Linked DNA regions of Canis lupus familiaris. The protein of the gene in region 1 interacts with the protein of each later gene in a biochemical or structural test. Links are inferred from orthologs where the notes say so. Each region holds a gene or a part of one and is shown in the gene's direction. Other genes may lie near its edges.

Evidence for each region.
Region 2: of the proteins of TOP1 (region 1) and TOPORS, one has a biochemical effect on the other in vitro, tested with the Homo sapiens proteins (2 studies listed by BioGRID). The link is inferred for Canis lupus familiaris from reciprocal best matches to the Homo sapiens genes TOP1 and TOPORS.

Annotation. Positions count from the first base shown.
Region 1 is NC_049245.1:29,729,748-29,734,963, forward strand, and holds part of TOP1 (DNA topoisomerase 1), read left to right. Parts: intron 1-517; exon of another isoform or gene 518-1,194; intron 1,195-1,368; exon of another isoform or gene 1,369-1,479; intron 1,480-2,150; coding exon 2,151-2,294; intron 2,295-3,164; coding exon 3,165-3,350; intron 3,351-4,438; coding exon 4,439-4,507; intron 4,508-5,039; coding exon 5,040-5,154; intron 5,155-5,216. UniProt on the Homo sapiens protein: Releases the supercoiling and torsional tension of DNA introduced during the DNA replication and transcription by transiently cleaving and rejoining one strand of the DNA duplex.
Region 2 is NC_049232.1:50,046,489-50,052,476, reverse strand, and holds the start of TOPORS (E3 ubiquitin-protein ligase Topors), read left to right. Parts: upstream 1-2,346; 5' UTR 2,347-2,525; coding exon 2,526-2,528; exon of another isoform or gene 2,529-2,728; intron 2,729-4,007; coding exon 4,008-4,202; intron 4,203-4,566; exon of another isoform or gene 4,567-4,888; intron 4,889-5,988. Other genes in the region: NDUFB6 (NADH dehydrogenase [ubiquinone] 1 beta subcomplex subunit 6), read left to right, coding at 1,279-1,347. UniProt on the Homo sapiens protein: Functions as an E3 ubiquitin-protein ligase and as an E3 SUMO1-protein ligase. Probable tumor suppressor involved in cell growth, cell proliferation and apoptosis that regulates p53/TP53 stability through ubiquitin-dependent degradation.

The DNA of each region.
Region 1 (5,216 bases):
GATGACCTTATCTGGAAAACCGAAATGGGTATTTTATTTTCTAGTAGTCTGAGAAAGCTTGTTCAAGTGTAATTTACTGTCTGCTTAGAGAAACTTCGAAGACAGCAGGGATAAGCATACTTCCTGGAGCCAGCCTTCCCTTAGACCTAGACAAGGTGGCATCTGCCCCCACCCTCCCATCTTTGTATCCTTATTTGAGACTCCTGGATCCTTGCATCAAGAGCCCAGCCATCCTGTGAAGAAAAGTTGATCTTGTGGTATCCTCTGTGAATAACTTATTTGTTGCGTTTTTCTAAACCTTGTTTTGGTGGCATGACTAAGGAATTGGGCAAATGTAACCCTATGGGACTTTGAAGACTTGGAGTAAGGCTTTGGTAGGCCTATGTGCATTAGAGTGATGGCCAAGAGCCGGCTCCTTAACTGGAGACTATACTATTAAAGATGAGTCTTTGATGTCGTGTGTGTGTGTGTGTGTGTGTGTGTGTGTGTGTGTATAAGGGAGAGAGAGAGAAAGACATGATTGTCATGGAAATTTATTACTGACTCGTACATGAAGACAGCTGGTATCACACCTTTTTCTTCACCCTTTTAAATGTCAATATGTACTAAGAAAAATCTGAGAAATTTTAAGCTTCCCTTTGTCAGGAAATAGAACTTAGATATTTCTTCTTAGATATTGTATCACCAACTGCTTAATTGCCCACCCACAACAACAAGTAGTTACTGAACCTCTTATTTTATAGCCAAACAAGTACATACAACTTGGCCACACACAGTTGTGGGAGAGTGCTGATGAATCCTTAGCATACCCAGGTGAGCTTGCATTTCTGAGTGTTGTTAGAGCTAGACGTAGAAGATGTTTCTCACTTACACATAGCTCACTTTCCTGCATGCTCAGAAGGCTAGTTACCGTGACCATGATTATTAAACTTCAAGGACCAATGTCGCATGTCAGATGGGAACTAGGCATATGTGGGTAGAAATCACTATCCCTCTCTCTTGTGGTTGGGAGAATTAAGAGCAGAGATTCTTGGGTTCTTAAAATCCATCCTTGTGGGGGATCCCTGGGTGGCTCAGCGGTTTAACGCCTGCCTTTGGCCCAGGGTGCGATCCTGGAGTCTCAAGATTGAGTCCCACGTCGGGCTCCCGGCATGGAGCCTGCTTCTCCTTCCTCCTGTGTCTCTGCCTCTCTCTCTGAAAGGAAGGAAGGAAGGAAAGGAAAAAGGAAAGAAAGAAATAAGCAAACTAGCTAGCTTTAAAAAAAAAAAAAAATCCATCCTTGTAGTCATGTCATATAATTTGTTTTAGGCCTTAGAATACTCCCTGACCCTCTTGGGATTTCATAGATGTTTCTCCCCCCTTTCTTACCTTTCTCACTTGACATTAGTATCAGTCCTTGCTTGTGAATCTTGTTTCCATTCAATATGGTAGCAGAAATAATCTTCTGTCACTGTTGATTAGATTCAGTCTTTTCATACCCTTTTAAAAACACGTCATTGGCTTTAGAATAAATTTTTAGAACTTGTACCAAAAACTAATGTTTTGAGAAGAAAAAGTCTTCTCAGTAACATTGTTTCCCCTCAATCTAATCAAAAATACTCTTAAATGCAGAAGTTAGAAAATGGTGAATAATTACCACTGTTCCTGGAAGTCTTTGTGTTCCTTAGTAATTAATGTGTTGTGTCATCTTTGGTTCTGCTTCTTGACAGTCCATCAAACTGAATGGTTGTCTTGGATTTGTATTTAATGAAATTTAGTCCTAGCAGAAAACTGTTGGGTCACAGACTCTACAGCAGAGCATTGATGCTGATGTGGGGATGGGGATATTTATACCTTTGTATTGATAGAAGTCCATTTTGGGGACGTGCCATTTGGGCTTTTCCCAAGAACATAATCACTTTACAGAATGAAAGCCAGAGGCTGGCTTAGTAACTAGACAGGGGCCTGTTGTGCTTGACAGTGAAACGAGACTAACATGAGTTCTCACCAGGTTAGATACTCTAAAATTTCTCTTCAGTACTCTTCTTTTTCTACCTTGCTTATGCTCAGGTTCCTTTGGTTCAGAGCTCTGAGCTTGAATATTCAAAGTCTATTTTTACTCTACCATCCCTACACAATCTACATAGACCTTTGGGTTTGGGTCTTTGCAGGGTGAGAAAGACTGGCAGAAATATGAGACTGCTCGGCGACTGAAGAAGTGTGTGGATAAAATCCGGAACCAATATAGAGAAGACTGGAAGTCCAAAGAGATGAAAGTCCGGCAGAGAGCTGTAGCCCTATACTTCATAGACAAGGTGAGCATCTTCCTATCACATTGCCTAATACGTTGGGCTTACCAAATATGGGATTGTTTACATTTCCAGGCCTTGTGCTAAGTACTGGAGCAGTACCCATCTCTGGTCCAATAAGGAGGGTAGAAGTGGAGAGAGAGGCATTTGGAGTCTGCTGGTCTCTAAATCTGAATCTTCTGCAAATACTATGACATTTTCAAACTGAGTATAAGCCACCAAAAAAATTTTTATTTTACGTCATGACCCAACACACATAAATATATTTGTAGTTGTGTGTAACTGCAAAGCTGCACAAAACAGTGTTTAGCCTTTCTACAAGCAATGAATTCTGACATTTTAATTTTTTTCTTGTTTTTAAAAAGAATGGTTATAACCCTTAAAATTGGTTAAACAATCCATGAATGTTTCACAACTATACTTTGAAGGACCATGCTCTAGAGGAGATGAGTTTGTCACTACCTTTTTGAAGATTTTGGTTTCTTTCCCAATTTTGCACTGCTTAGCACAAAATCTAAATTATCTCAAAAATTAAGCAAAATTAGGAGACTACTGAGTCTATCACCCAGAATAGGAATACTCTCTTGTTTGCTGCTTTGTTGTTGTTGTTGTTTTTTTTTAATTTCTTCCTTTCCTCCATTCTTATTTGAGAGAACAGAGTAAAGAGAAGCTTGGTTTTATGAGAAAGGGTAATATCACTATGATTCTCTGTACTTCATTTTATAGAGGAAGGAGCATATAGAATCCAGAATTCCCAAGCCTTGCAGACTGATACTCTATCCCCAGAGTTAGGAGACTTCTGATTTGGATTTCCTAGAGATCGTAGAAAATTGAAGTTTTTTCATTTGCTCTCATTTCTCCCTACTTCCTGGACAGCTTGCTCTGAGAGCAGGCAATGAGAAGGAGGAAGGAGAAACAGCGGACACAGTGGGTTGCTGCTCGCTTCGTGTGGAGCATATCAATCTGCACCCAGAGTTGGATGGTCAGGAATACGTGGTAGAGTTTGACTTCCTTGGAAAAGATTCGATCAGATACTATAATAAAGTCCCTGTTGAGAAACGAGTAAGTTACTTTGGCCTGTGCACCCTGGCCTGTTTTTCCTTCATTTCTTTCGTTCGTTCGTTCGTTCATTCATTCATTCATTCATTCAGCAAGCATATATTGAGTGCTTTTTGTATGCTCTTCACTTGCTGAACACTAGGGAAATAGTTTGAAAGAGAGAGGAGAGGTATTGGTTGTCCTGTGTACCTCCTTTTAGTCCCTGTCCCTCACCTACCACCCCGTGCTACACCTTCCTGGGAATGAGGGCACCATGTCCTAAAGTAACAGTCAACAGTGCATGCTGTAGAGTGTTGGCCCTAGTGGCAAACTTTAGCATAAGATTTAACTCACCTTACTGTAATGATTCAACCACATTTCCATACCCCCGGTCTTGTTGCATATTTGTCATTTTTGTAACTTTGCTCAACCTCTCTCTGAACTCCTGACTGAGCCAAGCAATAGCCCTTTAGTCCTCAAATCTCTGAGCCCATACCCAAAGAGGGCACTGCAGCTCCATGTCCATCCGTCCCCCCCCCCCCCCCCAACTCTTGGGCTTGAACCTGTAATCTAGCCCTTTAAAAGTCTGATATTTAATCAGTCATTAGGCTTTGTTGGCTGTGGCAGTGGTCCATACTAAAGAAGTGCTAAAGAGACATGACAACTAAATGTAATACCTTAGATTGGATTCCATCCTGGAGAAGTAGAGGACATCATTAGGTCAGCTGACCAAATTGGAATATGAACAGTAGATTGAAGCATATATACATGCAAATTTATGAAGCTGATAAGTACTGTGTGAATGCAAGGGAGTATCTCTATCCTTAGGAAGTTCTTAGGAAATACACGGAGATATTTAAGGATAAAGGGCTCATAAATGATTCAGGACAAACAGTTGTGTGTCTACACACATGTATGTAGAGATGGAAGTGAGGCAGACATGTATTGTGCAATGGTGAATGTTGTATAAAACGTTAATGGTCAGTGAATCGGTAAAAGGATGTGGGTATGGGTATGCCTTATGCTTTTTTATTTTCTAAGTTTTTGTAAGTTTGTAATTATTTCCAAAGTAAAGGCTTTTTAAATAATAGGTTCTACTTATTTTCCTTTAGGTTTTTAAGAACTTACAGCTATTTATGGAGAACAAACAGCCTGAGGATGATCTTTTTGATAGACTCAATGTGAGTGGACAGATTGCACGGGTTGAAGGAGGGGCCCAGCCGGAGCCTCCTCACAAGCTCCTAAAGGAGAGGTTTGCCTGGGGGTGACTTGGACTACTATCCCTTCAGTTTGTCCTGTGGCATCCTATACACTGTTCCTTCTGCAGGCACACAGTGAATCCATGACCAAAGCCCTCAGACAGGTGGACAGACCCTACCTTTTATTCTCTTCTGGCTCTTGCAGAGTCGTCTTTTGGCTGGATACCCAGCCATCTCTGAGATTGAAGGCCTCTCCCTATATCTTATCAGGGAAGATCTTAATGGGGGAAGGACAAATTTGCTTTATTGTCCTGCTTAAGATTAACATACTTCATAGGGAGATATCACGCACCCTGTGTTTTGGAATTTTTTTCTAACTTCCCACTGGCAGGGCAATAAACTTGGCAAACTTGAGATTACACTGGTATAAATGTCCTAGGGCTTGCCAGAAGGGGCAGAGTGGTTTAGCTTTTGCATAAATCCCAATATCCTCTCTGTGCTTTGTCTCCTCCAGACTGGTATTCTAAATAAGCATCTTCAGGATCTTATGGAGGGCCTGACAGCCAAGGTGTTCCGTACATACAATGCCTCCATCACGCTACAGCAGCAGCTAAAAGAACTCACAGCCCGTAAGTACTTGTTGGCCAGACAGGCTTGCACACTTCCTGGTATGTCCATTGCCCTTGCTGAG
Region 2 (5,988 bases), on another chromosome or scaffold:
CATCTGTACTTTGTGTAATTGCCAAGTTCTCTCATTTCTTTGTACTCATACAGCTGCCTCTTTAACTCCATGGAGTTATATGGAAGATATTTGAAGAACTGGTTCAAGATCAGTCTGAACTTTGCCATAGGACAGAGTCCTTTTGTTTGGGTTTTATTGGGCTTCTGTTTCTCAATATGTCTTCATTGTTAGCTCTTAGTTTTTAGAGATTCAGAAAGTCTTATTTTCCAGTACTGCAAGGTCCTGAATTTTTTCTTCTTTCCACTTTTGTATCTCCTCTTAAATCTGCCTCTTCTTGCCTGAGCTTATATTTCTTAAAGTACATTCCCAAGGTAGCTAGTAGTAGTCAAACATACTATAACTTTTTTTTAGCTACTTCTCCCAGAACCTCAATTCATTAGACACTTTGCTTCCAAGTTACTACTGCCCCATCTTTTAGCCTCCAATTCCAGCATCCTTGCCTCCAATGTTAAGCCAGTGCCATTGGTTTGATTTTTATTACAGCAGCATTAGTACCACTTTAAGGTAATGCTAACTGTAATGCTAACTGTGTAACAAATTACTCCCCAAATGTATAATGGCTTACACACAATAAAAGTCAAGGAATGGCAAGGGTGGGGTTGGGGTTATTTCTAGTCTACCCAGTAATTCGTAAGACTGTTAGGCTCACAAAATCTGTCTAAAACACAAAGCTGAAACTAAAGCTAAGTAATTTGCCTAAAATGATACAGCTTCCTAGAGAAGGTTCCAGAATTCTCACCACTTGATTCTGGCTCCAAAGCCCATGCCCTTTCTACCATATACATTGTATCTAGGTTTGAAAAGATAACAGTGAACCAGCTACCCAGGCAAAGTTTGCATTCTGTCTCTCATATCTGAGTCAAATAGTAAACAGGTGGGAATACATTACCTCCTTCTATTGGACTGAAGCTGTTTCCTCATAACTTTTTAAGGTTTTTCCTATTTCTTGAGGCTATACAAAATAAACATTATCTCTTTATCACCTATGAAGACCACTTTCTTGCTCCTCTGGAAATTTTGAGTGAAACTTCCCCTTATACTTCCTTCACTTATACCTCACCTTCACGTATACTTTAATATTCTGAATATTGCTCATCTTTGGACAGCTTCTACTTTAAGTCTCTTTCAAAATGTGAATGCCACAACTGAACCACATTTTCCTTGTGAGATCTGACCAAGTGAAACTATCATCTCTGCAGGCAAGATTTTTTTGCTAATGCATCTTTGTTTTTTGTTTGTTTTTTGTTTTTTTTTTAGGGTGATATAATTCTGGAGACTGGAGAAGTAATTCCACCAATGAAAGAATTTCCTGATCAACATCATTGAAGATTACTTTAAGATTTCAAAGGCATACAAAAAAAATTTCAAAGGCATATGAGGCCACGTTTATTGATGCATTACTGTATTTACTGAATATATTTTCTGGAAAAGTAATAAAGTTTACTCTGAGATATGTGTGGTCTATTTCTTCACAAATATTGTACAATTTGCAACTCTTTGAGTTATTTAACAATAAGTAAAAACTGGACAAGCCAAAAAAATATGAGTGATTACCTTTTTCTGACCATTCTTGACTTGAAAAACAGGATGTAGAAAGTAGTCACATGCCAGTTTTTTTTTCTTACATGGTACTTAATCTTATGTGAAGGTATGCAACAGAATGAAATGTTGCAATAAACAAGTATAAGAACAGCAATTCCACAGACTGTTTTAAAGAAGACTGAGGCATTTTAAGAGGTACTTTAGAAGCTCTAGGTTGAAAAGCATGTCATTCCATCTATGGTCCAGTACTCAACATGCTGTCAGATCTAGGTTGGTTTGTTTTATATAAGAATGTAAAAGAAAACCTCTGTGAGAATTAGATTGGTGGTGATTATAAAGGACTACGCAAAAATAAATTTATAAGCATCGCATAATGGATTTTACTTTATATCTAGACACGTGCCAGGGAAGCATCAGGTAAAGAACTATGTGAACAGCATTAAATCCAGAGGAATTACAAATATTCATCCCCAAGATCTGTCTGGGTATTCCTTGCTTAGCTGTCGTCGTGCAGCTACTGTCGATGCATAGATGACATATCCCCAGGAGAGCAATACGACTGCGAGGAGCAACTAAAAAAATGCAAGAGAGGGAATAAAGGCCAAGAAAATTACGTAAGTGATAATTCAGTTCCCTCCCTCCCCCCGCACCGACAGGTCGCCGAGGTGGTACGTTGCTAAGGTGAGAATTACAGTGAAAAACTCGAATAAATGGGGTCCCGGAGGCAAGTACACCCTGCGCCCTTACGTAAGAAGCGGAAGAGCGTGTCTTCCAGGAAGAGGCGGAGTCGAGGTGAGAGAGTGAAAGCCTTAATACAGGAATGGATTTTGGAGTTTCTGGGCGCTGAAGAAATAGGGGGCCTTCCGCCTGCGGGCCTAGGGAGTCGACACCGTGGAGCCCCGCCAGGCCAGGGACTTACCACTGAATAAATCCAGTCCAGGGTGCGGCGACTCACTGGCTTCATGGTAAGGAGGCGGCGGCGGCCTGCGGGAACGGAGGGAAGCTGTAGGCCCTAGAGTCACCTCCGGGGCGGCGGCTGCCGAGCGGCGGCAGCCATCTTTCAGCCGGGCACGAGCGCCCGCCCCTCGCCTCCGGCAGCGTTTCCCATCAGCCCGGCCGGCCTCTTCCGCCCGGAGCTGGAGGCGGGCTCACGTGATCCGGGGGCCTAGCTCGCCGTGGGGGGACAGGGTAAAATAAAGGAGGAAACGTGTTAAAAATGGCCTTTTCCGCCACTTAGATGGGCGTGCCTTGTCAACGGGTCTTTCCGTTGCAGTGCAATATCCGTGCAAGATAATATGCCGTCGTGTGCATTTAAAAATTTATTTGAAAAAAATGATCTTCATTTTAAGTATGACACGGGCTTCTAACGCCGGAGAGATGAACATTTCCACCCGCATTTCTTTCCACGTAATACAGAGAGACGTTCGCATATTCATCATTGACTTAAGAGTACCACCCACTTTTATATAACAGCGACGAGTCGTGGTGGGGAGTCCCTGTTCATTGAGCCCTTCTTCCTGAAACAAAAGTCTTGGAGAACGCAATGGCTTGTGGAAGAAATAACGTAACTGCCAATCAACAAGTGTTTTTTGAGCGCTTTTTGTGTGCTTAGGGCGGTAGCACGTGTCAAATTTTCAGCCAGAGACGGCATTTTGTACGCGGGCGGTTGTAGCAAGTCCAGCTCTGCAATGTTTTGGGACGCTCTGGTGTGAGGTCTGTGGGTAGAACGGGGCAGTGGGCCGCCTTAGGCCCAGACGTTCTGTCCCTGTACATCTCAGATATCACCTAAAGAGGGCTTTAACCCGGATTCCGGGGAATGGGGAAGTGTAAAGTATTCCTTTGAGAGGAAAAAGCTTGTCTTGGGAAGATTTTAAGGCCCCGTTCTCTTAGGTAATGCCTGTTTACCCCTGGGCTGGAGTAGATTTCTTTACGAAGACCGCGTAGGACACTGCTTGGGCCCTGGCTCTGGATTCCATTCGAATCCCAGAGTTCTGTCCCCGCTGTGCAACTGGAGGCGGTCCCTTCCCCTCCAAGTAACTCCGTTCCTTTTTACACTGGAGGTAATTTTAGCAACTTCTCGCAGAGTTTGGTCAGTTTTAAACGAGACCAAGCTAAGTTAGGAGCGAACGTCAAGTATCGCGCCTGTAGGCCCCGGAAACTACTGGTAACGAGAGTGATGGTGGCGGTTAGTGATTTGTGCCTGGGCGATTCTCGGAGCTTTTACGCCCGGAGTAGGGGCGGGGGCGGGGGCGGGGGCGGGGGGGAAGGGCCGGGGCTCGGGCGAGCATTCTAGGCCCCGCCCTCCATGCCGGCCGGCGCCTTTCTACCGCGCATGCGTTACGCACGCGGGTGTTGTGTTTTGACGCGCGGGGAGCTGCGGAGGGGGTCTCGTTTCTGCTGCCTCCCCCCAAGCTGCCATTGGTGATGAGCGCTTTACGTCACAGGGGTCGCAGCAGCCGCCGGGGTCTCCGCTGTCTCGCGAGGAGGGTGAAGCGCCCCCGCCTGCTCCGGCTCCTGAGGGCCGGCGGCGAAGTCGCCGGGTGCGCCTTCGCGGATCCTGCCGTCATCGACCTAGCTTTCTGGGCCGCCGGGAGCTTGGCTCGAGCGCGCCAGCCGGGCCTGCGCCGGTATCCTCCGAGGTGAGTGAGATTCGGAACAATGGGGCGCGGGGGTCGGGAGGGGTGGGCCGGCCGGCGCTCCGGGCCTGGGAAGAGGCCCCGGCACCGGGGAGCTGCGATCTGGGCCTGAGGGGCCGGCCGGGCCTCGGCGGGGCGGGGCGGGGCGTCGGGGCGGGGCTGGCGGCGGGCGGGCCGGCGGCTCCGGTGTCGCACCTGTGGATTTGTGCCGGCGGGCGGGGGAGGGCTGCGTTTCCTAGAAGCCCTCCCGAGGGGCGCGAGCCTGGCGGTGTACTGGAAAGAGCTCGGCCTCGAGGGGGTGCGGCGGGGGGGGGGGTGGGGGGGGGGGGGGGGGGGGGAGCCCGCAGCGAGCACTGCGTTCGCGTCTCCTCAGAGGTGTGCCGGAGGTTAGATCGAGCGTCCTCCTCTCACTGCCTGCCTGTAAAACGGGAGGAGCAGTGTTGTAGTTCGTGTGATTATGTAATGCACGTGGGGCTCATCTGCGGTCCTGGCCGGTGGCCGTTCTCAGCCGGAGGAGGCCACTGTCACCGTGCTGTTACACGTAGGGGGCCGGGCTCGCCTGCCTGTGGTTTCTCCGTCCTTCCAGTCAGGGCGGCTTTCCTCGTGGGCTGCCGAGTCGTAGCCTGGAAGGGGGCAGTACTGAGGTGAAGCAAACAATGCCTTAAGGGCAAAAGGGAACAGAATTTTCGGTAGGTAAATTTCAAGATTATTTAAGTTAAATTAACAGTTATCCGAGATTTAAGTTAACGGCGAAGTTTGGGTTCTTTTTTTTCTTTTTTTTTTTTTTTAACTGTTTTTATTGCTTGTAGTCCATGAGATTCAAAGCTGTAGTCAGCCAAAACCATCATGATTAGCTGGAATGAGTGGCTTTAGCGGGGAATGGTTCCCTAAAAGTTCTTTTTATGTCTGGTATTGGAATTAAAATTTATAAGACCTGGTTAATAGATCCTTTAAGATCCGAATGATCCTTTGGAACTGGTGATTACATTGCAGTTGAAGGAGGTACAGTGATTTCGCTAAGGTAATAAAAAGAACCCAGATTATTTTTTAATACTTGGGGTTTATTCTAGTGCATCTTATTTTGTACGCTTTTTAGCCACCTTGCGTGGATATACGAAATGCAGTAATTATATTTAGAAAAAAAGATGATTTGTGGGCAGCCCCGGTGGCACAGCGGTTTGGCGCCGTCTGCAGCCTGGGGTGTGATCCTGGGGACCCCGGATCCAGTCCCACGTCGGCCTCCCTGCATGGAGCCTGCTTCTCCCTCTGCCTGGGTCTGCCTCTCTGTCTCTATGAATAAATAAATAAATAAATAAATAAAAATTAAAAAAAAAGATTATTTGTTATAGTTTTCCTGAGTTGTTATAATCAGCTATAGGTGATGGAAAGGACTAAAATTAACTTTATTTTCACATGGGGTAACAGTATTAAATTCTTACCCCATACTAATCATGCTAAGAGTTTACATAGAGTAATATATGCCTTCACACAACCATCTTTTCAGGCGGGCGCTAGTACTTAATCGATTTTAGAATTGAGAAATTTTAAGGTTTTGAGAAGTTAAATAATTTCCTCCAGATCACACCATTAATAAGTGGTTTTGATTTTCACCCTGGCTCTGCATTAGAATTGATATCATTCCCCTATATGTAATCACCATTTTTGAATGTCCAGTTTATAATTTAGCCTTCAGCCCTTGATTCTTCACACCCCCCCCCCAATCTATTTTCCCTAGGTAAGTATGCTTGTTAATATCTGAAATTCCCCCAAAATGTGACAGGAAGCATTC